Anolis sagrei: one gene and its partner. The protein of the gene in region 1 interacts with the protein of each later gene in a pairwise test. Links are inferred from orthologs where the notes say so. Each region holds a gene or a part of one and is shown on either strand. Other genes may lie near its edges.

Evidence for each region.
Region 2: the proteins of ENKD1 (region 1) and BEGAIN interact in binary tests that used the Homo sapiens proteins (3 or more experiments, as listed by UniProt). The two-hybrid records come from large-scale screens. The link is inferred for Anolis sagrei from reciprocal best matches to the Homo sapiens genes ENKD1 and BEGAIN.

The regions. Positions count from the first base shown.
Region 1 is NC_090028.1:44,002,287-44,018,319, reverse strand, and holds the start of ENKD1 (enkurin domain-containing protein 1), read left to right. Parts: upstream 1-10,389; 5' UTR 10,390-10,465; intron 10,466-16,033. UniProt on the Homo sapiens protein: Microtubule-binding protein which regulates microtubule organization and stability. Promotes the stability of astral microtubules and facilitates the proper orientation of the mitotic spindle.
Region 2 is NC_090021.1:322,777,079-322,793,085, forward strand, and holds the start of BEGAIN (brain-enriched guanylate kinase-associated protein), read right to left. Parts: upstream 7,614-16,007; 5' UTR 7,504-7,613; coding exon 6,652-7,503; intron 1-6,651. UniProt on the Homo sapiens protein: May sustain the structure of the postsynaptic density (PSD).

The DNA of each region.
Region 1 (16,033 bases):
AAAATGGCTCCTTTCCCTCCCAGAGCCCTGAACAAGGGGCGGAACCAAAGCTTAATTATGATGGACAGGAGGCCTGCCCTATGACTGCAAGCAGATAACAGAAAGAAAATAAAGTTGGAGCTCCACACCTTTACCTGTAGCGACTTAATAGTGGAATTGTCCAAAGCTGCAGCCAGTTGCAACAGGAAGTGAGAGGGTGAGGCCTTCCCTCCCGATGACTTCTTCTCATTGGGACTCCTTGCAAGGGCCGCCATTGCCTGCAAAGAAGGAGGAGAGGTCTGAAATGGTACAAGATACCAGTAAACAGCGTGTAGATTTTGCATGCTCCAGACAGGCAAGATGGCCAGGGCAAGCCAGGTCGTTTTGCTGAGCTCTGTATTGGTTGTGGAGACTATCAGCAGTCTGTTAAGACGCACAGCAGGGTAATAATAATAATAATAATAATAATAATAATAATACTTTATTTGTACCCCGCTACTGAAAGAGTCTTTGAGTGAAATTTGCAAATGCTAAGCAAGGGGCTTTGAATGAAATTAACAGCAAAAGAGAAACATACCCTTTCTCTGTAGAAAAAAAGAGCAATATGGAAGAAAATGTTTTTAAGAAACAAGATGTGACATGTAGAGGTGGGAAGTTGTTTTGTGGTTAAGTTCAAAAGTTGTGGTTAAGCGCAGAGTCTGCAGGTACAAGAAGGTACTTTCCATTAAAAGATCAAGGGAGGGGGCTGGAAAGAGAGTACTTTCCATGACAAAAAAATGTTCTTGTTTACTTGAGGTTATATATCGGTGGTCAAAAAGCCAAGGGAACGCAGCAGTCACTTGAAGGGTAGCATCTGCGTATGCTACCGGGCTGTCCATCTTCTTCATGAAGAAACTAAAATAAACCTTGTTTTTTATCTCTTTTGGGACTGTCTCCTTCCTTACGTGTTCCCGTGACTGCACGGACCTAAGAAGACTCAGTTTAGGGTTTCTAACACTACCGTCTCCCCAAGGGACTCGGTGCGGCTTACATGAGGCTGAGCCCAAAATACATCAATACAAGTTAACCACCAGTTGCAGTAAATCTTGCCAACCGAAAGGTTGACAGTTCGAAGCCTGGCTCAAGGTGAGCTCCTGACCTTCAGCCCAGCTTAAGCAGCTGGGGGGGGGGGGGAGGAAAGGGCTGAAGCTGTTAGGAATGGTGGGAGTTGGAGTCCAAAACACCTGGAGGGAGGGCCCAAGTTGGCCCAGCCCTGGGTTAAACCAACCCCTTATAAGAGACACAGGCACATAAATAAATTGTAATAATGAAATGTACAGGGACATAACATATCTCATTAAAACCTTATCATTTATATTTTTACAAATATAAACCACATAAGGAAGCCTCGGGTTTGTTGCATGTCCTCCCATTAACCATGGCTTGATATCCACAGAGCATTTGGGGGATCCTTGAATGTTCAGCAAAGGAAGGGGCCCAAGGTAAGAGACCATCACACGGGCAATTTGGGGGCACAACGGAGGGGCTTTATGAAACATCCCACTACTGTCAGAAGCACTGTTGGTGGGGACGAGAGAGAGGGCCTTCTCAGTGGTGGCCCCTGCCTCTGGAACGCCCTTCCAAGGGAAATAAGGCAGGCCCCATATCCCTCCCCTCCTTTCGTAAGAGCTTGAAGACCTGGTGGTTTCAGCAAGCCTTTGAGAATGATCAGTTCTAACTCAGCCCTAATATTATATTGTAATGCAATATATTATTATTATTAATAATAATAATAATAATAATATGGTATAATCACATATTTCTGTTACATGTAATATTATTAATAATAATACGATATAGCGGTATGGTGCAATATAGCAATGTTTAATGCTGATATTGTACTATGCCAACAATATAATATATTGCATGTAATATATACCTTGTAAGCCGCGCCGAGTCCCCTTCGGGGTGAGAAGGGCGGCATAGAAATGTCGTAAATAGATAAATAATTAGGCTCGTTATGTTGAGACCGCAGTCGACACACAGTTTGGAAAGCTCTGCAACACAGCTTTAAAGAGTGGAAGGCAATAGGGGAAAAAAAGGGGGGACCACACTAAGGCAGTCCCTGAGGTACAAACATCTGACTCCTAGTTAAGAACGGGAGTGAGACGACAGGAAGTGAAAGGAATCTCCCCCTTGGAAGAGAAGTTCCGTCCCAAAAGAGTTATTATCCTGGGGAAAAGGAGTCTGCACTAAAGATTTATCACCATCAAAATCCAATTATTACAGGTAGAAACAGCAGAGCAGTGGTTGTCAACCTTCCTAATGCCGTGACCCCTTAATACAGTCCCTCGTGTTGTGACGACCCCCAACCATAATATTGTTTTCGTTGCTACTTGATACTTGTCCTTTTACTACTGTTATAAATCATAATGTAAATATCTGATATGCAGGATCGATTTTCATTCACTGGACTAAATTGAGCACAAATACCCAATATGCCCAATTGTGAATGCTAGTGGGGTTGGGGGGAGGATTGATTTTGTCATTTGGGATTTATAGTTCACTTATAATCAAAGAGCATTCTGAACTCCACCAGCGATGGTTTTAAACTGAACTTGGCACACAGAACTCCCATGGCCAACAGAAAACACTGGAAGGGTTTGGTGGGTGTTGACCTTGAGTTTGGGAGTTATAGTTCACCTATATCCAGAGGAATGCTGTGGATTCATGCAACCATGGTTCTGGACCGAACTTGGCACAAATACTCAATATGCCCAAATGTGAACACTGGTGGAGTCTGGGGAAAATAGACCCTGACATTTGGGAGTTGTAGTTGTTGGGATTTATAGTTCACCTACAATCAAAGAGCATTCTGAACTCCACCAATGATGGAATTGAACCAAACTTGGCAGACAGAATCCCAATGACCAACAGAAAATACTAATTTTCTGATGGTCTTTGGCGACCCCTTTGACACCCCCTCATGACCCCCTCAGGGGTCCTGACCCCCAGGTTGAGAAACACTGCAGTAGAGGAACATCTTCTAAATATGAAAACTAACACCACAGCGGTATTCACCCTTCCCTGTGCTATCTAAAGCTTTAAACTATGTGTATTTCTTGGCTGGAGTTACACTTGAAAATGTCCCTGATCTGACCTACATACAGATTCAACTTAAGAACAAACCTACAGAGCCTATATTGTCTGTAACTCAGGGAGTGTCTGTACAGGGCAGTTGATGACCAGGGGCCTTAGAGCTCTCTCATTCATAACTCAGAGCCGACTTGCTGACCAATAACATGGGAGTGGGATTAGCAACATTTTCCCAAGGTGTATTCAGGCCCATGCCTGAATACTCTCTCTCTCCAAAGACCTGCAGTTCATCCTCACAACAACCTGGAGTTGCCCTCCGTATCAAAGGCTTGAGCTGCCTGGATCTACTCAACAGAAGGAGAGATCCCCACCAAGGCAGGGGGTCCGTCTCCACCAAAGCACGAGGTCCGTCTGGAGACAATGATGGCACCGCCGCCTTCCTGACTCCGGTTGCTAGGCTACGCAAGGACCGCTGCATTCTGTCCACTCTCTCTCAGGTTGGTGGGCCACAGAAGCCAGGGACAATGCACCGGTCGTTGCAGCTTGAACTGAAGGGTATTGTGTTGGATTTAAGACTAGGACCGCAGATAACAGGGACTGTGCCCGGCAGACCCAGGCTAACACCAAATGGGCCAGGCAGAGAGACAGGAAACGCATCCGGGTGAAGACAAGCCGCAGAAGGTTATTCAGTCTGGCCAAAAAGAGAGACAAGGTCAATCATAACATTTTTTTGCAGCATGACAGCTATTCAAACATCCCGCGCCCCTCCCTGACTGGCTAAGAGAGGGGCCAGTCTGGATCCGCACCCTGATTGGTTGAGGACACTGCTGACATCACTGCCTCCAGGCGAGGATTCCCTTTTGCGGGGAAATGGCAGCCTGGGATTCGCTGACCGGAGGGCCAGGCGGCTGGTGGGACGTCCTCTGCAAAGGGATGCCCTTTATCGGAACAATGTCAAAGAGGGTTAGGGTTAGGAAACAATGTCAAAGAGAAGCCATTGAAATCCACAAGAAGCATGTGGACAATTTCAACAGAAAGGAAGAAACCATGAAAATGAACAAGATCTGGCTACCAGTATTAAAAAACTCTAAAATTGCAACAGCAAAAACAGCAGAGAGGAAACCGGCAGGGACATCTAATCACCTTTCAAGAAGAGTTTGCTCCAGGCACAGTCAGCCCATTGTATGCTAATCAAGGTGGTCAGTTGCAAGATTCACACCTAGCCCAACTGACAAGAGCCCTTTGTCTCACCCTGGCCATTCCACAGATATATAAACCCTTTCCCCCCCAGTTCCAGCAGACCTCACTACCTCTGAGGATGCTTGCCAGACATGCAGGCGAAACGTCAGGAGAAATGCCTCTAGAACATGGCTCTATAGCCCGAAAAAACCCACAAGAACTTAATGTCAAAGAGATGATAATGAGTCTTTGATTGACTGACTCAGCATAACAAGTGCTTGAGGCTCCAAAGACCTAAAAGGTGAGGGTGATCTTGACAATTGGAGTTGGGCTCCAAATAAAAAGGTTAAGCAAATGTACGCACGCTGAGCCTCTGTTTCCATGGTCAGCAATCTCTCAGCCCACGAGGGCCATTAAGTTAAACCAATATTTACTGTCTTATCTGGCCTGACGTGGGGAGCTGCCTCTCTCTGCATATATATATTACATATCTATCTATCTATCTATCTATCTATCTATCTATCTATCTCCAGAATGGGTTGTGATGATTACCCTAGCCGGGAACAGCCAGAGAGATTTGCCCACCCTCTCTTGCCCAGGAAAAGCCCCAGCAAGGTTACAAAAGGGTGGTGGTCTTCTGGGCTACGTCTTGTTGCATTTTATATGGAGAACGGGATTAATAATAATAATAACAACACTTTATTTGTACCCCGCTACCATCTCCCCAGGGGACTCGGTGCGGCTTACATGAGGCCGAGCCCAAAATACAGCAATACACGCAATAACAACAACAATACAAGCAATTTAAAAACAACAAAACAATAAAACAATAACATAAGCATTATCACCATCTTCCCAGGGGACTCGGTGCGGCATACATGAGGCCGAGCCCAAAATACAGCAATACACGCAACAACAACAACAACAATACAAGCAATTTAAAAACAATAAAACAATAACATAAGCATTATCAATAGGACAACACACTTTAAAAACTATGGGTAGGCCAAATGTAAAATTAAAATTGAAAGTAATGCTGCAGCATGGGCAAAAAGGCGATAGTGGCATTTGTGAAAAACAGACAAGCAGACCTAAAAATGTAAAGTGCTTTGGAGGATTCTCTATGTATGCACATACCTATACTCTACGTATACAGGTCTGGCAGAAGGTTAGAACAAGTATAGATTTTATTTTAGGGTTGAAGCAATTAAGTCTTTGTGGGCTTTGATGCTGCTCTTGGTCTGTTCCTGATATTCTCTGCAATCATTTGTAATTGAGGAGGAGGAGGAGGAGGAGGAGGAGGAGGAGGGGGTATCGTGTTCAATAACAGTATGATATATTTCATAATAGACTCGTATAACTGCATTACAGGCAGTCTCCAAGTTATGAACAAGATAGCACAGTGAGTATGCCAAAGCCTGTTAGTGTTTGTTTGCCCCAGTGAGAGAGTGCCTCAGTCAGTGCGAGGAGGCTTCCCTGCGAAGGAGGCCTCACAGAATGACAAAGCCCTGGAATGAGAGAAGCTCCCACGTGAAGGCTGCTGCGTGCAATGCTACTGTGTAACAGAGCCTAACGTTGGTTATGGGCCCAGTACTCAGCTTAAGCGGCTGAGGGGGGAAAGGAAGGGGCCCGAGGCGGTTGGGAATGGTGGGAGTTGGAGTCCAAAACACCTGAAGGGAGGGCGGGCCCAGATTTGCCCAGGCCTGGTTTGTTGTTGTTTATTCGTTCAGTGGCTTCTGACTCTTGGTGACCTCCTGGACCACCCCATGCCAGAGCACCCTGTCGGCCGTCACCACCCCCAGCTCCTTCAAGGTTAAGCCAGTCCCTTCAAGGATCCCATCCATCCATCTTGCCCTTGGTCGGCCCCTCTTCCTTTTTCCTTCCTTTTTCCCCAACATCATTCCCTTCTCTAGGCTTTGCTGTCTCCTCATGATGTGGCCAAAGGACTTCCTCTTGGCCTCTACTCTCCTTCCTTCCAGTGAGCAGCCGGGCTTTCTTTCCTGGAGGATGGACTGGTTGGATCTTCTCGCAGTCCAAGGCACTCTCAAGACTTTCCTCCAACACCACAGCTCAAAAGCATCTCTCTTCCTTCGCTCAGCCTTCCCTAAGGTCCAACTCTCACATCCGTAAGTGACTCTGAAGAAAACCATTGCTTTGACTATGTGGATCTTTGTTGCCAGTGTGATGTCTCTACTCCTTACTCTCTTATTAAGCTTGACCATTGCTCTCCTCCCAAGAAGGAAGTGTCTCCTGATTTCCTGGCCACAGTCTGTGTCTGCAGTAATCTTTGCGTCTAGAAATGCAAACCCTGTCACGGCCTCTACCTTTTCTCCCTCTATTTCCCAGTTGTCAATCATTCTTGTTGCCATAATCTTGGTTTTTTTTAATGTTTAACTGCAACCCAGTTTTTGCGCTTTCTTCTTTCACCTTGATTAGAAGGCTCCTCGGCTCCTCCTCGCTTTCGGCCATCAAAGTGGGATCATCTACATATGTAAGGCCTGTTTACCCTCCATTAAGTGGCTGAGGGGGAATAGGAAGGGGCCCGAGGCTGTGAGGAATGGTGGGAGTTGGAGTCCGAAATACCTGGAGGGAGGGAAGGAGGGCCCAAGTTGGCCCAGGCGTGCCATGACCTCTTTCACCATCAGCAAATGCTTAGAAAGCCCAGAAAAAGAGACTTTGAAGACCACCAAAGTCTAGATGGAAGTCAACAATATTATATTTTTTCCTTTTTTAAAAAAAACAAAACATTTTCCCCTTTTTCTCTTCTTATATATATATATATATATATATTCTATTTCCTATATGTTCTGGAACAGCTGTTCCAGGAGCTCCAATTTTATTTCTTTGGGTTAAATGTTGGTTTGCAATCCCAGGCTTGGGATTTTGCAGCAGGGTGGCTTCCTGTTATAATTTGCATTCATAGGACAAGCCACCTGTCAATAACAGTTAGGTTCCCTGGTCCCGCCCTTCTTTGAGTTTTTTGGAGGGAAGGGGCTATTTTTCAGCCAGTCTCAGCAAAGGAAGTCTATGCAGAGGATGTACACAAACGTCCTCCTGTGCAAAGGCTTCGTCTCTTAAGACTTCCCGGGGGAGAACAGTCTTGAGAGCCTCTACAGATTCCCAAAGGGTTCCAGGGAAACAGCTTTACAGCCCTGAGGACTTCCGGAGGGAATAACAGCTCTGCTCATCTCCAGCTAAGTGACTACAGGCCTGCTGGTACGTCTGCTCGGTTCTGAGACGCAGTTCAGCCGGTAGTAGACTCAAATCAGTCAGGTTTAGGTTCACAGCAGCCTGGGAGGCGCTAAAAGGGGGAATTTTCCTTTGAGCAAAGTTTATGAAGATAGTGCCTGTTTCCTGTAAACAAGATTGCAAGAGCTAATAGACCAGCGATTCTCAACCTGGGGGTTGGGACCCCTGGAGTGGTCACGAAGGGGTGTCAGAGGGGTCACCAAAGACCATCAGAAAACACAGTATTTTCTGTTGGTCATGGGAGTTCTGTGTAGAATGTTTGGCCCAATTCTATCATTGGTGTGGTTCAGAATCCTCTTTGATTGTAGGTGAACTATAAATCCCAGCAACTACAACTCCCAAATGTCAAGCTCTATTTCTCCTAAACTCCACCAGTGTTCACATTTGGAAATATTGAGGATCTGTGCCAAGTTTGGTCCAGATCCATCATTGTTTGAGTCCACAGTGCTCTCTGGATTTAGGTGAACTACAACTCCAAAACTCAAGGTCAATGCCCACCAAAACCTTCTCGTATTTTCTGTTGGTCATGGGAGTTCTGAGTGCCAAGTTTAGTTCAATTCCATCATTGGTGGAGTTCAGAATGCTCTTTGATTGTAGGCGAACTATAAATCCCAGCAACTACAACTCCCAAATGGCAACATCAATACATCCCCCCCCCCCCCCCCCCGCAAACTCACCAGGTATTTGTGCCACATTTGGTCCAGTAAATGTAAATACAGTAGCAAAATTACAGTTTTGAAGTAACAATGAAAATAATATTAAGGTTGGGGGTCACCACAACATGAGGAACTGTATTAAGGGGTCGTGGCATTTGGAAGGTGGAGAAACACTGTAATAGACTGTTAAGCCTGTTTGTTCCTTAATAAAGAACTGTTATATTTAAGCTCAAGCCTCATAAAGACTGCTTAATAAGGGAAATTTTCCTAAAGGCTTCTTTTTGGGGCCCTGGCTTCCTGCTGGATGCAAGCCTAACATCCTCTCTTAAAAGCACCTTCAAACTACAAGAAAGGAGATTCCACCTGAACATGAGAGTTGTTCAGCAGTGGAACTCTCTGCCCAGGAGGGAGTGTGGTGGAGGCTCCTTCTTGGGAAGCTTTGAAACAGAGGCTGGATGGCCATCTGTCAGGGGTGATTTGAATGCAATATTCCTGCTTCTTCACAGATTGGGGCTGGACTGGATGGCCCACCAGTTCTCTTCCAACTCTTTGATTCTAGGATTCTATGATTCATTTCGGCTCCAGCGGCGACAGAACACTATATATACATAAAATCCAACCAATGCTCCATTCAGCAAAGGACAAGAGGGATCCTCTCACCTCTGCAGGAGTCTACCATTGTATACCATGCAGCTGTGGACAAGAAGTCTACAGAGGGACCACCACACGCAGCGCCATTGCCCAGACACGGATCAAGGAACACGAAAGACACTGCAGAGTAACTCAACCAGAGAAGTCAGCCATAGCAGAGCACCTGAGGAACCAACCTGAACACAGCAGATTATTTGAGAACACGGAAATGCTGGACCACTCTCACAACCACCATGTCAGACTACACAGAGAAGCCATTGAAATCCACAAGAAGCAGGTGGACAATTTCAACAGAAAGGAAGAGACCATGAAAATGAACAAAATCTGGCTACCAGTATTAAAAAACTCTAAAATTACAACAGCAAAACAACAGAGAGGAAACAACCAGGCACAGCTTAACACCTCCCAGCAACAGATTTTCCCAGGCTCAGGCAGGCCTTCAAATGCTAATGAAGGTGATCAGTTGAAACATTCACACCTAGCTCCAGCAGACAAGAGTCCTTTGCCCCACCCTGGTCATTCCACAGATATATAAACCCATTTTCCTACTTCCAACAGACCTCACTACACTGCCGATTCAGTTCCGAGCACAATTCAAGGTGCTGGTTTTGACCTACAAAACCCTGTACGGTTCCGGTCCAGTGTATCTGTCCAAACGTATCTCCCTTTACGTCCCACCCCGGACTCTGAGATCATCTGGGGAGGCCCTGCTCTCGACCCCACCACTCTCACAAGTGAGGCTGGTGGGGACGAGGAGCAGGGCTTTCTCAGTGGTGGCTCCTCACCTGTGGAACTCACTCCCGGGGGAAATCAGGGCAGCACCATCCCTCCTCGCCTTCAGGAGGAGGGTGAAGACGTGGTTGTGGGACCAGGCCTTTGGGCACCTTGGCAATTAAATCAGACAATCAGGCGAGTAAGACCAGCAGGATTGATGAAATGGAATGTAAAATTAGATCAATGAGCGAAACGCTGACCATGTAAAAGGAGAAATTGGGTTTGTATTTGTTTTTATTGATTTTATTGATTTTATGATAATTAATGCATGCACTTTGTGAATTATATTATGATATGATGTAAGTTTATGTATAATTGTTTCATGATGCAGGCATCGAAGGGTGCCTTTGCTTTTGTAAGGCCGCTCTGAGTCCCCTTCGGGGTGAGAAGGGCGGGGTAAAAGAACCCCAAATAAATAAATACCTCTGAGGATGCTTGCCACAGATGCAGGCGAAACGTCAGGAGAAAATGCCTCTAGAACAGGGCCATATAGCCCGAAAAAACCCCACAAGAACCTAACTATATATACACTTTTTTCCTCTCTTTTTGCCTTTTTTATATACTTGGACCTTGATATTCCTACTTTCCTATCCAAACCAAATATGTTCCCCCACTTTCGAGGTTATATATATATTTTAATCCTCCTAATAAAAACATTTTTTTTTTTAAAAAAAAAAGGGAAATCCTGAGCCAGTGCCTCTTGCTTCCCTCCCTGCCCTTCCCTCCCCCGGCCACAAGGGGCGCTGCGGCGCCGGCCCTCAGGCGAGAAGGGGCGGTGCTAGACTTCCTAGAAGGGCTTTGTTTACCTTCCGCCTATGGAGAGGAAGCGACGGTTGCTTAGCGACGGGAGGAGGAGGAGGAGGCGGGGAGATCCCAACCGCGGCCTGTTCTCGTCCCGAGAGGTGAGCGGAGCCCGGCGTGGGCTTGAGGCGGGCCTTCCCACCCGAGGCTTCCCCAGGGGACGCGCCCCTCTTCTCTGCTTCCCGCTGGGCCCTTCCACACAGCCACATAACCCGGAATATCTGCTTAGAACCGGGTTCCCTGAGTCCACATTGCCACATAATCCGGTTCAAGGCAGATAACGTGGGATTGGATTCACCTGCGTGGAAGGGGCTTCTGTCTTCACGAGAGGAAGTATTCATATAATTATCATTGTTACAAACTTGCAGAATCTTGGCTTGTGGGAGGTTTTGGGGCCATGTTCTAGCAGCATTCTCTCCTGACGTTTCGCCTACATCTATGGCAAGCATCCTCCGGATGCTTGCCATAGATGCAGGCGAAACGTCAGGAGAGAATGCTGCTAGAACATGGCCCTATAGCCCCAAAAACCTACCACAACCCAGTGATTCCAGCCATTTATTTATTTATTTATTTATTTATTTGTCGTGTCAGATCAACCAGTCAATTATATTACATTTCTAACAGAACAAAGCAAACAAACAAACAAAACACAAAGTTTGCAAGCTTGGTAGTTGATTAAATGTCCTTTGACCAGTCTCTGTCCCCTTGGAGTGCTTCTGGTGTTGCCGCAAGGAGGTCCTCCCTTGTGCATCATGTGGCAGGGCTCAGGTTGCATTGCAGCAGGTGGTCAGTGGTTTGCTCTTCTCCCCACTCGCGTGTCGTGGATTCCACTTTGTAGCCCCATTTCTTGAGGTTGGCTCTGCATCTCGCGCAGTGTGTTCAGCACCTTCCAAGTCGCCCAGTCTTCTTCTGTGTGCCCAGGGGGGAGTCTCTCATTTGGTATCAGCCACTGATTGAGGTGCTGCCACTTTTGGACTCTCGCTTGCTGAGGTGTTCCAGCAAGTGTCTCTGCAGATCTTAGAAAACTATTTCTAGATTTAAGTGGTTGATGTGCTGGCTGATACCCAAACAGGGGATGAGCTGGAGATGTCTCTGCCTTGGTCCTTTCACTATTGGCTGCTACTTCCCGGCGGATGTCAGGTGGTGCAATACCGGCTAAGCAGTGTAATTTCTCCAGGGGTGTAGGGCGCAGGCACCCCGTGATAATGCGGCATGTCTCATTCAGAGCCACATCCACTGTTTTAGCGTGGTGAGATGTGTTCCACACTGGGCATGCGTACTCAGCAGCAGAGTAGCATAGTGCAAGGGCAGATGTCTTCACTGTGTCTGGTTGTGATCCCCAGGCTGTTCCAGTCAGCTTTCGTATGACGTTGTTTCTAGCGCCCACTTTTTGCTTGATGTTCAGGAAGTGCTTCTTGTAGGTCAGAGCACAGTCCAGAGTGACTCCTCCCAGGGATTTGGGTGTGCTGCAATGCTCCAGGGGTTCCTTCCCAGGTGATCTTCAGAGCTCAGGATGCTTGTCTGTGTTTTAGATGGGTTGGGGATCATCTGGTTTTCCCTGTCATAGGCAGTAAGGGCACCTAGAGCTTCGGAGAGCTTCTGTTCTACCATCTCAAAGCTCCCTGCTTGAGCAGTAATGGCACGATCATCAGCATAGATGAAACTCTCTGTCCTTTCTGGCAGCCATGAAAGCCTTCCACAATTACAGAATCTTGTACTGTACTGGTTTACTGTACTGGTTACTGGTTACAGCAAACAATGTTGGCTTGCTTACTTAGGTGATCCCTCATAGTCCGAGGAGGATGGTCCTCCAAGTATAGTGTCCTGGCTGTGGGTTCGTAGGTGACTGTGGAGCCCTATTCTTGACCTGCATCTTCTCCCACAGTGAGGGCATTGGATTCCACATGGAAGAAGGTCCCAGTCAGGGTTGGCTTAATGTGCCTCCTTCCTCTTGGCATGTTTCTCTCTTTCACCCTCCATTTGTGCCTCTTTGAATTCTGCAGCACTGCTGGTCACAGCTGACCTCCAGCTGGAGCCCTTAATTATTATTATTATTATTTCCGTCACTTTTACCCCGCCCTTCTCACCCCCGGGGGGGGGGGGGGGGACTCAGGGCGGCTTACAGAGGAAGGCACAATTCGATGCCTTTATCACATATACATACATATATAAACAAATTAAACAATTACAAATTAAAAATTAAAATCATCAATACACATTAATACAATAACACAGCAGTAGGTTAATCCTGAGTTCAGCGTTCGAAGTTTCATAAGTCCATTCCATCTCGACAAGTTCCAGCTCGTCATTAGGTTTTTCTTTAGCTGCCCGGGTGTCCAAATGCCTGGTCCCATATCCAGGTTTTCAATTTTTTCCTAAATGAAAGAAGGGACATTGCCGATCTAATTTCCCCGGGGGGGGGGGGGGAGTTCCACAGGTGGGGGGCCACCACCGAGAAGGCCCTGCTCCTCGTCCCGGCCAACCTCACTTGTGATAAAGGCGGGGTCGAGAGCAGGGCCTCCCCAGAAGATCTTAGGTTCCGAGGTGGGACGTAGAGGGAGATCCGTTCGGACAGATACACTGGGCCGGAACCGTATAGGGTTTTATAGGTCAAAACCAGCACTTTGAATTGTGCTCGGAATTGGATCGGCAGCCAGTGGAGCTGACACAACCGGGGGGTGGTGTGCTCCCTGTATGTCGCTCCGGTGAGCAATCTGGCTGCCTCCCGCTGGACCAGTTGGAGTTTCCGAGCAGTCTTCAAAGGCAGCCCCACGTAGAGTGCGTTGCAGTAATCCAGTCGGGATGTAACAACAGCGTGGACCACCGTGGCCAAGTCCGACTTCCCAAGGTACGGTCGCAGCTGGCGCACAAGTTTTAATTGTGCGAAAGCTCTCCCGGCCACCGCCGAGACCTGGGGTTCCAGGCTCAGCGATGAGTCCAGGATCACTCCCAAGCTGCGAACCTGCGTCTTCAGGGGGAGTGGAACCCCGTCTAACACAGGCTGTAACCCTATGCCCTGGTTGGCCTTACGACTGACCAGTAGGACCTCTGTCTTGTCTGGATTCAATTTCAAGGCTCCCAGTTCTCGGTGTCAATGCCAAAGTTGAGCCCATCTTTCAATCTCTTTTCCTGCCCACCAACATTCCGTTTTCCGTTCGGAGTAGAGCAACTGCTTTGGGAGACGGTAGTCGGGCATCCGGACAACGTGGCCGGTCCAGCGGAGTTGATGGTGGAGGGGCATCGCTTCAATGCTGCTGGTCTTTGCTTCTTCCAGCGTCTGACATTTGTCCACTTGTCTTCCCGGAGTTGATGGTGGAGGACCATCGCTTCAATGCTGCTGGTCTTTGCTTCTTCCAGCATGCTGACGTTTGTCCGCTTGCCTTCCCAAGAGATTTGCAGGATTTTTCAATGGCAATGCTTATAGAATCGTTCCAGGAGTTGCATGTGACATCTGTAGACAGTCCACGTTTCACAGGCATACAACAGGGTTGGGAGGACAATAGCTTTATAAACAAGCCCCTTGGTCTCCCTACGGATGTCCCGGTCCTCAAACACTCTGCTTCATTTGGAAAAATGCTGCACTTGCAGAGCTCAGGCGGTATTGTATTTCGGTGTCAATGTTGACATTTGTGGAGAGGTGGCTGCCAAGGTAGCATTGGCTTAGCTCTCACTACAAACCACCCTTCTCCAAGAACCAGGGACAGTGTGCCCACTCTTTTCTGTTGAGGCCGAGCAGGAGGTGGAATCTGCGGTCAGAGTATCTTTGGAGGAAGCGCAGGGAAGAAGAAAGTCGCTCTTCCTGACTGCTTCTGTGCCAACTTGGTTCTATTGGCAGGTTACTTTTCCAAACTACGACCCACCTAAGGCCCTAAGATCTTTTGGGGAGACCCAACTCATTGTTCCCCCATTGTCGCAATCACGTCTGGTGAGGACAGGGAACGGGGCCTTTTCTGTGGTGGCCCCTCGGCTATGGAACTCCCTCTCAATTGAAATTAGATCTGCTGCATCCCTCTTGACCTTCCGGAAACAAGTGAAATCCTGGCCATGGGATCAGGCCTTGGTAGATTAGGGTGACTTGCTGACTTGACAACTTTTACAGAACTGTCTGACTCCCCCTCGGATGATGATTCAAGCTGACTGTGTGTTTTTATATTGTTGTATACTGTTTTACACTGTGTATTGTTATACTGCTGTTCAATTATATATTTATGTTTCTGGAATGGGCACCATGGGATGCCAATTTGTAAGCCGTCCTGAGTCCCTCTGCGGAGGTTGAGAGAGGGCGGGATAGAAAAGCCCCAAATAAATAAATAAATAAATACATAGGGTGCCTGGCCGCAGAGTCACAGCAGCTGCGGCCTGTTTGTTGCTGGCAGGATTCCCGGGCTTTGTGCCTGGCTCTGCCCGGTGGCAAAGCGCGGGGCGTCACTCCCTTTTGGAAGGCACGCAGGAAACGGCTGAGAGGTTTGGAACCAGAGGGCTACAGAGCTTCTCTTACTACCTGTTTCATTAAGCTCCATTTCAGCCCAATTACATTATTTATTTATGTATTTATTTACTATATTTGTATACCGTCCTCAGCCCTCAGGTGACTCAGAGCGGTTCACAATGGCAACAATTTGATGCCCCAAAACACCATAAACTATTTAAAAACATTAAAGTAAAGGTAAAGGTTGTCCCCTGACATTAAGTCCAGTCATGTCTGACTCTGGGGTGTAGTGCTCATCTCCATTTCTAAGCCGAAGAGCCGGCATTGTCCATAGACATCTCCAAGGTGAGGTGGATCTGTAATTCGTTAAATGGACGAACCCAGAGGGTGCTCACTAATGCTTCCTCTTCATCTTGGAAAGAAGTGACGAGCGGAGTGCCACAAGCAGGGTTCCGTCCTGGGCCCGGTCCTGTTCAGGATCTTCATTCATGACTGAGATGAAGGGCTAGAAGGCAGGATCATCAAGTTTGCAGACGACACCAAATTGGGAGGGATAGCCAAGACTCCAGAGGACAGGAGCAGGATCCAAAACGACAGATTAGAGAGATGGGCCAAAACTAACAAAATGAAGTTCAACAGGGACAAATGCAAGATACTCCACTTTGGCAGGAAAAACGAAATGCAAAGAGACAGAATGGGTGACAATGCTTGGCTCGAGAGCAGTACGTGTGAAAAAGATCTTGGAGTCCTCGTGGACAAGTTAAATATGAGCCACCAATGTGATGTGGTGGCAAAAAAAGCCAATGGGATTTTGGCCTGCCTCAAGAGGAGCCTAGTGTCTAGATCTAGGGAAGTCATGCTCCCCATGCTCTATTCTGCCTTGGTCAGACCACACCTGGAATATTGTGTCCAATTCTGGGCCCCACAATTCAAGAGAGATATTGACTCTAAGCTGGAATGTGTCCAGAGGAGGGCAACTAAAATGATAAAAGGTCTGGAGAACAAGCCCTATGAGGAGCGGTTTAAGGAGCTGGGCATGTTTAGCCTGAAGAAGAGAAGGCTGAGAGGGGATATGATAGCCATGTATAAATATGTGAGAGGAAGCCACAGGGAGGAGGAGGAGGGAGCAAGCTTGTTTTCTGCTTCCTTGGAGACTAGGACGCAATGGAACAATGGCTTCAAACTCCAAGAGAGGAGGTTCCACCTGAACATGAGGAAGAACTTCCTGACTGTGAGAGCC
Region 2 (16,007 bases), on another chromosome or scaffold:
TGATTTAAACCTGGATTTCCTAAGGTGCACTCCAATGTCCCAGCTCATCTAACCAATCAATCACTGTGGCTTTCCAGTTTGTTGGGAGAGACTATGCTTACAAAATTAGATATTGGTTTCCTCTCCTAAGGTGCATCTACACTGTAGAATTAAAGAGGTTTACACAACTTTTACTGTAGTTATTCAATGCTATGGAATCTTGGGAGTTGTCGTTTGGTGAAGTACCACCACTCTTTGGCAGAGAAGGCTAAAGATGTTGTAAACCTACAACTCCCATGATACTGCACTTAGTAGTGAGTCAACAGATAGTCAACAGATACTACTGAGTGAATGGATCTATTCTGGTCAGGTCTCAGTCCCCTTCTTTCCTGGGAAGCTCGTTGGAATAGATTTTCTCAGAGGATGGTAAACTCTCCTTTGGAAGTCCACACACAAGTTGAAAGGCCATCTCTTCAAAATGCTTTCCCTATCTGTTCCTGCATGGCAGAGGGTTGGACTAGATGGCCCTTGTGGTTCCTTCCAGTTCTTAAGAGTCTCCAATTCAACACTCACAGCAGGAAGCTGGAACATGTTCCTCGCCAACCTGAGAATAGCTGTATCAAATGAATTTGTTTGGTGCAGTTGCAGGAAGATACCAACCAAAATTGGTGCATTTCTCAGTATGATGGACAGTAGAGCAATAGGGTTTACCAACTCTGTAGGCTGACCTGTCACAGCCCTCAACATGACAGAAAGGCAGGAGACTTAGTAGAAACAGATACAAAAGTATAAGATTGACAGCAGATAGCACGAAGCCTTTTAATACAGAAGCTGCTCTTTGATGTTGAATTTCTGCCTCAAAACCTCAAGAAAAGAAGATAATGAAACTACCATTTTACCTTCCCATTTAAGGTCTGTAAGGTAAGGTTATGCCAGTCCTGCACATTTTCAGGCTTAACTTTTGTGGATTTGATTATTCTCAGAGTTGATTAATTAATATGTTATCTCTAGAAATCTTGAGGTGCTTCAGGGAGACTCAGTGTTCAAATTCTGCTGAAGGTTGACCATCGAGCTGCCTTGGAGGACCTAAACATTCTTAGAAATGTATTCTTTTAGGTTATAAAATTTGTGTATTTTCTATTTGTGTCTTTTCCAGTCTCACAGGGGTTCTGCACCCCTAACCCCCACAAAAGTGGAGGGCTCACTCTATGTTGATAAACAGCCAATTATACAGCAATCAGCTTGGAAAACCAATCTATTGTCAATGATTAAATGTTTATAGATTATACCAGCTGCACAATATATAAAAACATTATTATTTGCTTGTAATAACCTGAAGGAGCCCCTTTAATCAGCAATAACATTCTAGTGTGATACAGGACTTTTTTATTAGACATTGTGTAAAATATCAGATTCAATATGTTTCTGGTATGATAACACTTTTGTATGCACATAGACACACATATTAAACAGCAAAAGCCAGGGGGATATAAAAGTTAGGCTTCTAGTGTAGCATCATTAGCTTGGTTTTACTGAACATCTTGGAATGTAAGTCTCAATTGATCTGCTAAGATTCTGCCAAGCTTTTAATATGGGCCAGAGTTCTGTCTCTCAGCGTTTATATTGAATTGTTTTATCCTGCTCTTGGTTTCTATTCATGGAATTGATTCTAGTGCTGTTAACTCTTTTGAGTGCTTTGGATTATTTATCTTACTGTCTTCTTTTTTCATATGCTACTTTTAGTTTAGTTTACAAAGAAACACCTTTTTATTTTTAAAACTGCCTGAATTGTGTTATGTATTATTGCTATTTAATTGCTACATATGCAAAATAATGCAGCAAACATCACAGCAGCCATAAGAGATTGAATGAAGGACTAAGGAAAAAACCAAATAAGTACAAGGAGATCAAGATATTTTGAAGCCTTCCTTTTAACATTTCTTAATATGCGTTGCAAAATAAGACAGTTATTGAGTGTTCCTGAAAAAATGTAAAGCAGAAGAATACTGTGTTAAGGGGAGTCTGAATACCCTAAGCGGTGTTTCTCAACCTGGAGGTTGGGAGCCCTTGGGTGGGGAGGGGTTGTGTGAGGCCATAAAAGACCATCAGAAAACACAGTACTTTTTTTGGTGTGGGAAGTTTGGCCCAATTCTCTGTGGGAAGTTTGGCCCAATTGGTGGGGCCCAAAAGGCTTTTGACTGTACGTGAATCCCAGCAGCTACAACTCCTAAATGTCAAGGTCTATTTTCCTCAAACGCCACCAGTGTTAACTCTGGGCATATTGAGTATTTGTGCCAAGTTTTGTCCAGATCTATCATTGTTTGGATTCACAGTGGATGTAGGTGAACTACAACTCCAAAACTCAAGGTCAATGCTCACTAAACCCTAAAAGCATTCAAAGCACCCCCAACAGATGGCCATCCAGCCTCTGCTTAAAGGCCTCCAAAAAGAAGCCTCTTCTTAAAAATGATTACAAGTGATGGACAATATGTAATGGACTTGATTCTAGAGAAGTGGTTCTGAACCTGTGGTTCCCCAGGTGTTTTAGCCTCCAACTCTCAGAAATCCCAGCCTGTTTACCAGCTGTTAGGATTTCTGGAAGTTGAAGGCCAAAACTTCTGGGGACCCACGGGTTGAGAAACACTGTTCTAGAGCATAGAGAAGTTACTTTTTAAACTGCAATTCCCATAATTCCTAAACTAGCATGATCATTGGACATTCTGGCATGGGAATTTGAACACTGTAATCCAAAAATGTTATGTTTTGGAGCACTGGTTAAGAACATAGGCAATCAGACCACTGATCACATCTGTCACAGTGCTGAAAAGTATAACTAGCAGCAATGGCTTTCCATGGTTTCAGGCAGAACGTGTTCTAGACTATCATGGGAATCCCTGAGCACCCCTGATGGCCTCCCCTCTGAGTATCAATCAGGCTCAGCCCTACGTAGCTCTTAAAATCATGCACAACCCTTTAATATAAAAAACAGGAGCTCTTCAGTCATAGCACCTCACAACTGCAATGTAAATTAAATATACATTTAATTTCTGGGTTATGCATAGAAACTATTGTATCCTTCTCCCAATCCAAGCGCCCAAATCACCATCCCATTTTTCTTATGGTAGTCTCTGAGGACTGAAAAGAATGTCCTGTGGTGAAAGATCAGGGTGATATGTTAGTTCCGTTGATATAATTCCCTGAAACCAAGAACAGAGCAATTTCCCCACTTTCCTACAACTCCCACTCCACTTTAAAGCCTTCAAAACCAGCTCTGGAAAGCTATGAAAGTTTTCCAGTGCAGGTTTCTGACCAGTATGGAGGGCTATAGAATTAAGATAGAAAAAGAAGTCGTCGTTCTGAATATCTGTTGTATCAATCACACAATTGCCTAAAATCTAATAGCATCCATTAGAACTGAGGAGAGTTCTTTGCAAGATTATTTTCTTACCATAGCTTCAATTTGCTGGCCAAGGTTATGACCCCACTTTTTCAGTTCACCGCTGTCTCCTGCCCAGAACCATGCCTGGAGGGCATCTTTGACAAGGAGCAAAATATCAAGAGTACCTTATGGAAATTAAAGCTGTAGGGAGGCCTAATAGTTATATTAGAAGCATCAATGGCTCATGTCTGTGTGTGTATTTGGGGTATGCTTAGAAATGAGGAGAAAAAAATCTTGCCAAGAAAACCGCATGATTGGTTCACCTTAGGGTCACCACTCGTGAAAGAGCAAAACAACAAGAAGTTTGTACACTGTGAATGGGTCCAGGCTCGGTTTACTGGTCTGTGTAGAGACAGCAAGGAGCCAGCAAAAAGGTCCATGAATTCTCTCCAAACTACAAAAAAGCTTAAAATCAAGAATGAGATTGGTATAGGTCATATCATCCAATAACTGCAATGCAATCACTCTAATCACATGTCAATCAAATATGTCTTTGTATTTTTTGGCAACTTGATGACCATTCACCTGTAATTTGCTGAATACAAGTGTCCTGAATGACTTTTCAATAACTTTGAAGAATAGGTTCTTTTTATTGCAATTTCCAGTGTGAGAGGGTACATCAGATTACAGAAAAACATTTGGACGAAGAATGACATTGGACATACATACAGATTCTATGCAACTACATTGGATTTACAGTTACATGGCTAACAAACAAACAAAGGGAAATTACATTTTCATTCAACATTCACACCACATGTACACGCATTCATCCTCAGGCATCCAAATATTACCATATCATTTTCTCCCTCCTTGGATAAGCACCTGTTAGGCCAGACCCTGCTTTCCTGCAGCCTGCCAATGCATAGTTCCATAACTTAAAAATGCTGAAATCCCAAAACTTCTTTCTCTAAGAATAATGCCAAGGACCAGATTTCTGTTTTGCTTACAGCAGAACCCGACTCCCTGCACAAAATCCAAGACTCCAAAAGTGCACTTCTTCCTCTTCCCTAGAGAAAGAAGCCCCAAAGTGTCCAGAATCATGCTTTACCATAGCATATCTGACACTCTCCGAATACAACATCTCTCTCCTGCCCATGGAATGGAGCATGGCGGGTTGAACAGACTCCTCAGGTCTGCCACATTTTGAGCATTATTAGATTGAGGCTTTTATAGGAATATTCTGCTGATGTAGTCCCAAAGTTGTAAATTAATGATCCATCCTGGATCCATCTCAGTTTCCTGGCCAGATGTTGATCTTCTTGATTGGTGTTGACAAACACAAGGCTTGTATTAAATTCCTTCTTAACATAAGGAATGTTGCAAACATTTTCTTAAATTGAAATAATCATTGTCACAGTTTTTATCACAGTTTACTTTTCAGTTCTTATTAGCAGGTTTTAATCACACTCCAGCAAGCAGGTAATTAGTCATTGCAGGCCTTAATATTATACTGGTGTCTCCAAAATTATTAACTCCATACATACATCCTTCCATTCTTCCATTCATTCCCACACATATATTAAATCCAAATTGATAAAATCTTCTACAATATTTTCATGACACAAGGTACATATAATTCGCCATCTTTCCCAGTGCCTTATAAAAGTTCCTTTTTTTGTACAACTACAAGATCCTCCTAGCTAGGATGGGGGAATCTGGGAATTATAGTCCAAAAAAGATGGTAGCCTTCTACAGACATGTGTGGTGCCACTGATTTTTGCAAACCACACTTCCTGATGGGGAGTAGGGAGAAAGAGTCACAAGGAAACAGTTATGCAGCAAGGTTTTAGAACAATGTAGAAAGTGGATTAGGAAGAGAATCAACTCATTTAAAATGTGTTCCTGGCCATGATATCATAGGCTACCAAAAAGTCAAATAAGTTGGTTCTACAGAAAATCAAGCCTAAACTCTTCCTGGATGCCATAATTGACTAAATGATGTCTGTTGTACTTTGGCCATATCATGAGATGGCATGATTTACCAGAAAAGCCAATGACACTTGGTAAGGTAGGAGATAGTAGGAAAAGAGGAAGACCACAGTCTAGATCAGGCACGGACAAACTTCAGCCTTCCAGGTATTTTGGATTTCAACTTACACCACTCCTAACAACTACAAGTCTGCTCTGTCCTGTTCTAGATGGATTGACTCATTCAAGGAAGTCCTTAAGTTTGCAAGGGCTGTTGAGAATAGGAGATCTTGCTGGTCCCTCAAGAACAGTTAACAATTGCAAACAACAATTATCCACCTTCTGTTTACGGACCAATCTTTGTATTCAGCCACTCACTGCTGCATTTACACGGCAAAAATTGTCCTCTAGCAGACATAAAACAACTTTCCTTTTAGCCTTGAACATCACTCCTTATAAAGTGTGTGAAGTATACACGTTGCACGGATGCGTAGGGGTAAAGTCTGATACTAGCGAAGGCAGATACACACAAGTGAGAAAGCTTAATTGAACAGACACTTAGGAGATTAACACAATATACTTTGAAGAGTTGACATCCTACTTTAAATCCTGTGGGTGCCTCCTGTAGAATTCTGGCGGTTGTAGTTTTTTGAGGACCTGGACCTCTCTGGCTGAGAATTTGAGATGGCCCCTCCCTAAACTGCAAATCCCAGAATTCTACAGGAGGCAGCCATAGAATTTGAAGTGGAATAGCAACTCTTTAACAGTGTGGGGTGATAATCTCCTAAATAAAGGTATCATGTTTTAAGACAGCTTTTCCCAGCTCGACAATTTCCACTAATATTGGACCTGTACTATTTCTAAGCAATAGTCATAGTATGAGTTCATCATCCACTTGGAAGATAATTCCAGACTGGTGAAAGACAACTTCAAAATGAGTGCTTTGGAAGGCCTCACTAAACTACCAACTCCAGAATTAAACAAATGACAAAATGTGTTTCCAGAGTCAAGGATGACAGTCTTCATACCATTTTCAGCACATTCCATGATCTGTTCCAGAAACAAACAATCCAAGTAAATTTATGAAACGCGAATTAACAGATGTCATGTCTTAGTGTGAGTTAAAATGGATTAACCTTCCAATTACAAATGTTTAACATTGGCAAATTAATTTTTAGACCTAATGTACCAAGCTCTGGGATTCATGAATTACAAAAAATGGTAGCTGGTCAAATAAACAAACAAAACAGAGATCTGTTAGTAAAAAAGAAAGAAGCTATACCCTTGCCAGTGCTAATAAAATACCCCCATTATTTACTTACTTGACCTGGAATCCCGTTTCTGTATCTCCCAAAAGAAGGCCCGGCATCCAAGGACAAAGATTTCTCCAGCTTCCGCATCCGTGCTCCAGACACAACATCATCACTTCTCAAACTCTCCAGGTCTGTCTCTCTCTGTGATTTCTGGGCCAGATTCTCACCCTTCCAGCCCTCAGAGCTCTTCTTCCGTAGACGTAAATCATCAAGGCTTCTCCCTGCAGAGCCAAGGCTACTCTTCAGTTTAGCTGCTCGGAAGGCTTTCACACTTGTAGGGTCGAGGACCCGGAAGGTAACTTCATTCAGGAATTGTGAGAACTTGAGTTTGGCTTCAATTTTCTCTTCCACAACAGACAAGGAGCTTGAGGAACCTTGGCTCAGGATGCTCAAATCAGAGGTGGATGAACTACTCCGGTTATGCAACTTCTTCCTCTGCTGATGCTTCTGGCTGGTGTCTCCTGCTTTCCCCGGGTAGAGTGAAGAGTGCTCCAGATGATGGATTTTTTCACCCCACTTCTGGTTGCATTTGAATCGATGTGATTGATAGCCTTCATCCTTATTTTTGCTTTTAGCAAAGCTTTTAGCTTCTGACCCAGGGCCACTTTGAAACTCGAAACTGTCCTCACTGGAACTGCAGGGTTTGGAATAGCTGCCCATGGCCAGTGCTCCCAAGTGTCGGCTCTCCATATCACTGATCACTTCAGCATCACATAGATGGGCAGCGGAACTGCAACGTGGTCGTTCTTCAGCCATTCCTCTAGACCCCTCTTGCTTATGGGCCTTCCCATGTGTCCCACTCTCTGCCTTGATTTGTGACAGAGGTCCCTTGGACAACAGTTCCATGTGTTTCTTAGGCATCTGAATGTGACCTATTATCTGTGTAACCACCCCACGTTTTATTTCAGCCAGACAAAATAACCAGTTTCTTTGCAAAATATATCCCTGGCCCAGCTGCCACACTTTACAGCCCCTAGTTACATATAGTCACCAAAATTAGATCAATAGTTGATTTGCATTATTTTAATTAGTCATACCAATCAACTGAATCTATAGTACATACTTGATTCCTCCCCTTCACCATCCCTGAGGGGCTGCTGATGAATGTGGCTTTGCATTGATCCAGACAAGCATATGATATGTTCCTGCCTGTTGAACTGTAAACTCATCCACAGTGATGTGAATCCATTTGCACTAAGTATGCTTTGGGGCAGTTACATAGCATGGCTTTTGAAAAAAAAATCAGATAAGAGAGAAGGTCATCTTATGGTTGTGACATGTCCTGGTCACACTCATGTTCTTGGTTCCACTGCTATGGTGGGGGTGGGAGGAACCCAGATTAAACTAGAATAATCCATCAAGCCATAGGAAAGGATGGCTGAGATTTGCATTGGGAGGTGTAGCATAAAGTTCCACACAAGCAAAAGTAGGACAGTGGGTTGTTGTAAGTTTGTTATGCTGTATGGCCACGTTCCAGAAGCATTCTCTCCTGGTGTTTCGCCTGCATCTATGGTAGGCATCCTCAGAGGTTGTGGCATCACAGAGGTTGTGGCTTGATAGCATACATGGGGGAAAAAAGATCTTGGAGTCTTCATGGACAGCATGTTAAACATGAGCCAACAATGTCATGCAGCAGCTTAAAAAGCCAATGGAATTTTCACCTGCATAAATAGGAGTATAGTGTCTAGATCCAAGGAAGTCATGCTACCCCTCTATTCTGCCTTGGCCAGACTACACCTGGAATACTGTGTTCAATTCTGCATACCACAATTGAAGGAAGATGTTTACAAGCTGGAATGTGTCCAGAGGAAGGTGATTAAAATTATCAAGGGTCTGGAGAACAAGCCCTATGAAGAGTGGCTTAAAGAGCTGGACATGTTTAGCCTGAAGAAGAGAAGGCTCAGAGGAGACATGATGAGGGCAATGTATAAATATGTGAGAGGAAGTCAGGGAGGAGGGAGCGAGCTTGTTTTCTGCTGTCTTGGAAACTAGGATGTAGAACAATGGCTTCAAACTACAGGAAAGGAGATTCCACCCGAACATGAGGAAGAACTTCCTAACTGTGAGAGCTGTTCAGCAGTGGAACTCTGCCCCTGAGTGGAGGCTCTTTCTTTGGAGCCTTTTAAACAGAGGCTGGATGGCCATCTTTCGGGGGTGCTTTGAATGTGATTTTCCTGCTTCTTGTCTTCTGCAACTGTCCTCAAATTGACTTATGCAAATTGCACTTAGTTTGTACTTCATTTAGGTTGTGTTGTACATAACTCATTAACAGAATGCCAGGTATGATTTAGGACATGACTTCTTTTTAACAAATATCCATTGGCAAATGGAAAGGTAGCACAATATAATTTAGGAAATAAAACATATATGTGTGCTCCTATGTATATCCATCAAGTCTACATTCTATGGCCCAGAGCACTAATGCACTAGTCAGGGTTGACTGGTGAATCCACTAGTCACCTTAAGTCACAGTTTGGGAAAAAAGTGATGGAAATAAATAAATAAATAAATAAATAAATAAATAAAGGGATAGATGAGATAAAGTATCAGTGTGATGTAATGGAGGAGCATTGGACTACCACCCTAGAGACCAGGGGGTCAATTTTCCATTAGCCATGGAAAATCACTCGGTGATCCCAGGCTAATCACACATTCACAGCCTCAGAAAACTCTGTGGTTGGCTCTTAGGGTTGTCATCAATCAGATATGACTTCAAAACACATAACAATGCTGGATGAATGGCTTGATGGAAAGTTCTACAGATCTATAGCAATATTTGTGGATTCACATCACACTAGGTGGAGAGAGTTGAGGATCAATGGACCTACTGGTACAGGGGCAAGGAATCTAATCTAGATTTTGTCACTGTTCCTTCCACTGCTGCTCCAAGTTCGATCCTCAGAGCATTTTGGGGATATGTTGGAGTAGATTTTCTGTCCCTACAGCAGTGGTTCCATTAGTTGTCCCTGAGGCAGGGGAAAATGTGTAGAGAAGAGGGATATAGGAAATTTTGTCATTATTTCAATTTTGATTGAGACAGTCTATTATGACATGGTGAGAGTGCTTGTCAAGGATTTCCCAATTTTGTATTTCCAGTTTGAGAATAAGATATCAAATTTGTAAAACATGGTAACTGTACCTGTTATCCAAAACTAAGCAGAGCCCCTGGTGATGCAATGGGTTAAACCCTTATGCCAGCAGGACTGCTGACTGATAGGTCAGCAGTTTGCATCTGGGGAGCATGGGTTGAGCTCCCTCTGTCAGCTTCAGCTCCCCATTGGGGGACATGAGAGAAGCCTCCCAAAAGGATGGTAAATCACCCAAACATCTGGGTATCCCCTGGGCAACATTTTTGCAGATGGTCATTTCTCTCACACCAGAAGCGACTTGCAGTTTTTCAAGTCACTCCTGACACGGAGAAAAAAAATCCAAAATAAAACATTTCATGCTCACAGAATTTTTGGATCTGGTAGGGTTGGTTGTATTTTTTATCCAGATCTAACAATAACCCCAAAGTGATGGTCTTTAAAGACATTTTAACAGCATGACAAGCCTTTGTGGGTGCCCAAAGCAGGCAAGATCTCACTCAGATTTGTGCTGGAATAGTATACTTTGCCAAAACCAGAAAGCACAGGTGGCATGTTCAACTCCTTTTATACAAACTAATGGAGTAGTTAGGAAGAGTCTAGGTCATTGCTACTCCCCTTCTCCAAACTCCTGCCATCTGAAGCAATTGTCTACTGCATAGAAGCTACATAGAAACTCTTTCAGTAGAACAGTTCTACTGAATTCCATAAGCTTTTAGCAGGCATCTGGGATAGCTAACTAATGCCGAGAAGAAAAACTCATATGAATGACCAGCATCTCTTTTTCATATTAATTCTATTTCTACCATTCACAGATGTCCCAGGGCAAGTAACAATATTAAAGCAATAAAATACAATAAGCAATGTTAGTGTAATGCACCTAATAAAATCTGTAACAATCAGCAGAGATAAACAAGTATAGTGCAGAGATCCAATCATATTCATTGCCTGCTTATAAATGCCCTGGTAAACATATGGCAGTAATGAAATCGCAGTAAAGTCAGCCTCAGACTAATGTCGTGTTGGGCAGCAAACCAGTGAGGGCACTGGTTTGGAGGAACTCTTGTTCTGAATGTAGTTCTCTCTACATCCTAACTGTCATTACCCTGGTAATGGAAAGAGAGAAAAAGAGGCAGTACTTGTTGGACAAAATCCCCTCCCACCACCCCCGTCCCTTTTTCTTTTTATAGCCTGTCTTAATTGGATTGTAAACCTGAGGGCAGGGAATTATTTTGTTGTGCTTCTATTTGTAAAACACCATACACAGGGATGGAGCCATATAAATAAATTATGATGATGATGAGAAGAGGACGTGGTGTTGGTGTTGGTGGAGGAGGTGGTGCAGGAAGAGGAAATAATTGTCATATTCAACCATTCAGGAATGGGCTTTCGGTGCTTAGGACTGGTGTCAGTGATCTCAAAGGACATGTTTTTCGCTCCAGGACCTGGAATGGGGGTGGGGGTAGGGGAGACACACATAGATCCTTGGTAGTTTGAGGGATATATTTTACTATTTTGGACACACACCCTTTATTTTATAGTATATATGTTGCTATGTCCCTGGTATTTGAATTCCTGTGAAACTTAACATTTTATTTGAAATGATACAGCATAGCATATTGAAAATGCTGTCACATTTCACATCCAACTGAGTGATTTCTATAGAAAGCTCTTGCTTAAAAACAGAGCAAAGAAAGGGACTCCAAAGAAGACTTTAGACCAGTGGTTTCCAATCTTTTTTAACCAGGTACCACTTGACTAGAGACCACTCTCCAATATTAGTGCCAAAAGGGTTACTAATCAGTTTTTGGTCAACTTTAGATTTGGTTTGGTTATTTGGGGTGCTGATTCATTGGCTAGATCACATCAACCCTAGTTTCTGATACAGAACATATGCCATCCAGTAGTTGCCATCTACTCGCCCACAGAAAACCATATTTAATAATCTAGAGCTGATGTGGTCTATCCAAAGCAATTTTCTGAATCACCACCCCAAATAACCCCAGGAACAGGCCTAAAAATGAAGACACCAAGGTGCCCCCACTTCCAGGTGCCACATGGAATGACTCTGTTCGGGGGGAGTGAGGGAGGAGGAGGAGAAGCAGCAGGCAGCAGGCTTGTTTTCACACTTTTAGTGGGTAGTGAGCCTCTCCCCTCCTGACATCCCAGTTGCCTTGGCACTATAAGAGGGTTTTGTGAGACCAGTTGCTCTCGTTACATTGGTGTAGTAACGGTGAGGCCGCCGTTCTTGTGGACCACTCGTGGTCCACGGACTACAGGTTGGGAACCACTGCTTTAGGTGCTGTGTTTTTTTAAACTCCTCAAGAACGGCTTTACTATCAATTCCTAAAATCTTACTGATTACTAAGAAAACATCACCATTCACCATATTTTCGATAAGAGTGGATTATTTCTAGCAGCCTGGGATGAGTCATTTTGCTTCTTTTCCATCTACTATTGACCCCCCCCCCCAATATTGTCTTTTGTGATGTTCAAGTAGTTTCTTTCCCCACCTCACCCTTTTTTGGCTTTTATTGTTGTCATACCAAAGATGTTGTAGTACTTTGGCCACATCATGAGGAGACAGGAAAGCCTAGAGAAGACAATGATGCTGGGGAAAGTGGAAGGCAAAAGGAAGAGGGGCCGACCAAGGGCAAGATGGATGGATGGCATCCTTGAAGTGACTGGACTGACCTTGAGGGAGCTGGGGGTGGTAACGGCTGACAGGGAGCTCTGCCGTGGGCTGGTCCATGAGGTCACGAAGAGTCGGAGACGACTGAACGAATGAACAACAACAACAACAACAACCAAAGATGTGGGATTTTTGTAAACCATATTGCACAGAAAAGGTAGGTTAAATCCTGTACACATCTACAGGGGTATGAGAATTTCAGTACTTTCGCACTTTGCATCTTAAAGGCTGTGTTAAGGTTCTTTGAAATTGTAGTCTAGAGTCTCTTAAGAACTGAGATACCTTGGAAAACCAAGTTGAATAAAAGAGAGAGTGATGGCAGCTTTCTTTTGGCAAATCAGCATGTAGATGCCTAGCTCGATACCTTGGAAATGTTAAGATGATACATTCTGGGGGGCATTTCTGGTAGATGCGGTAGAGTGCATATCAAGATTTTTTTTAGGCAAAGGGTAATTGATGCTGATTGAGCTGCCAACATGATATTCTAGAGATATTTGTCTGGTCATCTAAAGAGTGAATGAGAAGCAACTTTCCTCCTCTAGAGGTTAATTGATTCAGTATGGCGTATACCATAATGGGAGCTCCATTGTATGGTGAAAATAAAATAAATAGCATTGTGTTTGGAAGTGGCATGGGGGCTAAGAAGAGATTTGTTCTTTCCCTTGAACTGGGCTTCTGTTTAATTTTTCAAAACGGCTTTGTTTTCCTAGGAATGGTGTCATAAGGAAATGAAAACTCCCATAGCAATAGGAGGAGAAGTGCTGCAGCCGAGGTTGTTATGACAACTGGAAGTTTCCTAAAGAAGAACTCGGAGAGATGTTTTCATTTTGTGACCAGAGCTGTTAAACATTGTCTGTAGTTATGCTGCGTAATATCATCTCTTTCTCTTCATTGTGCAAAGTGCTGTTGGCATTGCTGCTTTAACTCAATCTGCTCCGTGCCTAACTCCTACAAGTGGTAATGAGACAACATCCAAAGATGCCACTGGGAGTGTTACAGAAGAGAGCACCATGCTACATTAACCTCCTCTTCTTAAAAGCACACTAGCAAAATACATTTAATTTTGTTGGGTGTGGTGTGTTTGGAAGAAGGTCTGACATAGAACTGGGCCTATCACTTGACCTCAATGGACAACTTGTCCAACCCTATTTCAGTACAAGAATTCACATCTTAAAACTTCTCTGAAATATGGTCACCCAGCCTCTGTCTAAATACCACCAGTTATATCCACATTCACGTCACTAATAGGGGGCTCAGTGATCTGCAGTCCCTGGAAATCATGGACCCAGATCATATGTATCTAGAGGGCCCACTATACCCATGCCAAGGGTGCTTTGAATGCAATATTCCTGCTTCTTGGCAGGGGGTGGTGCAGTGGGTTAAACCACTGAGCTGCTGAACTCGCTGATCGAAAGGTTGGTGGTTTGAATCCAGGGAGTGGGGTGAGTTCTCGCTGTTAGGACCAGCTTCTGCCAACCTAGCAGTTTGAAAACGTGCCAATGTGAGTAAATCAATATGTACCACTTTGGTAGGAAGGTAACGGTGCTCCATGCAGTCATGTTGGCCACATGACCTTGGAGGTGTCTACAGCTTAGAAATGCAGATGAACACCAACCCCCCAGAGTCGGACACAACTAGATTTAATGTCAGGGGAAACCTCTACCTTTATCTAAACATCTTCATGAATCATATCTTGTTCTGAAATGGGAATATTCAAGAACATTTGGCAGTGGAAGGCTATTTTCCCACATACAAGAAAATGTGGCTATTGATTATTCTCCCCTCCCCCCCCCCCCCCACACACAACACATACCTTCTGTTCCCTTTTAATTGAATTCAACATATGAAGAAGTGAGGTTCAAACTGTTAGTTGTACATTTGAAACTATGAGGTGACTGGATGTAGAATTCAACCTGTGGCACCCAGGCCAAGATGCTGTCAACTAGACTAAAGAGCTCCTGCTAAGATTTGAATGGAGTGGGCAGCTTGATGGAATGAACAATTTGGAAAGAGGAAAATGTAATTTCAAATATTCATGGAGCTCTTGCAGAGAAACAGGAAAAGTACAATCGGAATAAATAAGGTTCTGCTTGTATGGGAAGCCAAGAGTGGGGAGTGCACCAGGTTAACAAAGGCCACGTGGAAGTCTCCAGCAGGTAAGAGCTTAATTTCACATGTCAATGAGAACGTCACATTGACTGAATGACACATTAGAGCTAACCTCAACGTAGCAATTTAGCTCTCCCCTGTCACCTTTGGTTTGGCTCACTTTTCCTTGAGTCATTTGGACCCAGTTGGTTTTTAAATTATTATCCTAAATGAAGTAAATGTCAGATCTCACATTTCAGAATGCAATAGCATTTGTGGGATTGAAAAAGTGGGTAAAAACATTTTTGTAGTTTCATTATGTTTTTATAAAGGAGATAAATGAAAGCAGGAAAGCAGTGTTTGGCAGATCCTTAAAGGAATAAATTTGTTTCAAGATTCCCAAGAGTACAACAGTTCTTCACACAGAAATATAAAGCAGTCATGGCAAAAGGGTATGAAGCACTTGACCAGTGTCCCTGGAAATTATGAGCATGCCTACAAATCAGAGACTATGTCTCAGATGAAATATAATATGTGTCCATTCCATTTCATGTACAAAAGCCAATTGGCAATTGAATCTCTTGTCAGTTCTAGTTATATGACCAAAGACACAAGGCTGCTGCATCATACTCAGTCAATGATGTGGCACAGCAGCTAAAAAAGCCAGTGTGATTAGAGGTTGTGTTAATAGGAATATAGTGTCTAGATCAAGGGAAGCAACAGTTCCACTTTAATCTAATTTGGTCAGACCTCACCTGAAATTCTGGGCACTACATTTCAAGAAGGATATTGACAAGCTGGCATGGGCTCAAAGAAGGGTGACCAAATGGGCAATGGTCCAGAAGGAAAATCCTATAAGGAGTTGTTTGGAGAGCTGCATGTATTATGCCTTGAGAAGAGGAAATTAGGGTTTGACATGAAAGCCATGTTTACATATTTAAAAACATATTACATTGAGGAGCAGGGAAGCTTTTTAAAAACTATTTCTACAGTTTCAACTCCATTTGCAACAACTGAAAGAAGCTTTGGACAAAGGAGGAGGAAGAGAGAGAAACAAGAACAATTTAAAAGCAGCGGAAATGTTTTGTTTCTGTTTTTAATTTGTTGTGGTCGCAATATATTTTAATATATTAGTGTATCGTTGTTTTGACTTGAGCAATTCTTTGAAGGGGCCTCTGAGCAGAAAAAGGATTAATAAATTCTCTGAATGAATGAACAAATGAACAAGTTATACTCCATGCAATTATAATGTGCAGCAGAACTCACTGAACTGATATACAAGATCTGGAGCCATTGCTCATTTTTGAGAGTCCCATTTATATTTAGATCTATATACCCACAGATCACATTCCCTATTCATTTTAGCATGTTCAGGATTAGTCCTGATTATATAACCCTGGTTTCTGCACATTTGCAGAAATTGATCATAGAAATTCCAAAAGGCAGAGCGCATTGTGGATGCATTGATGCTGTTCATATATATATATATATATATATAT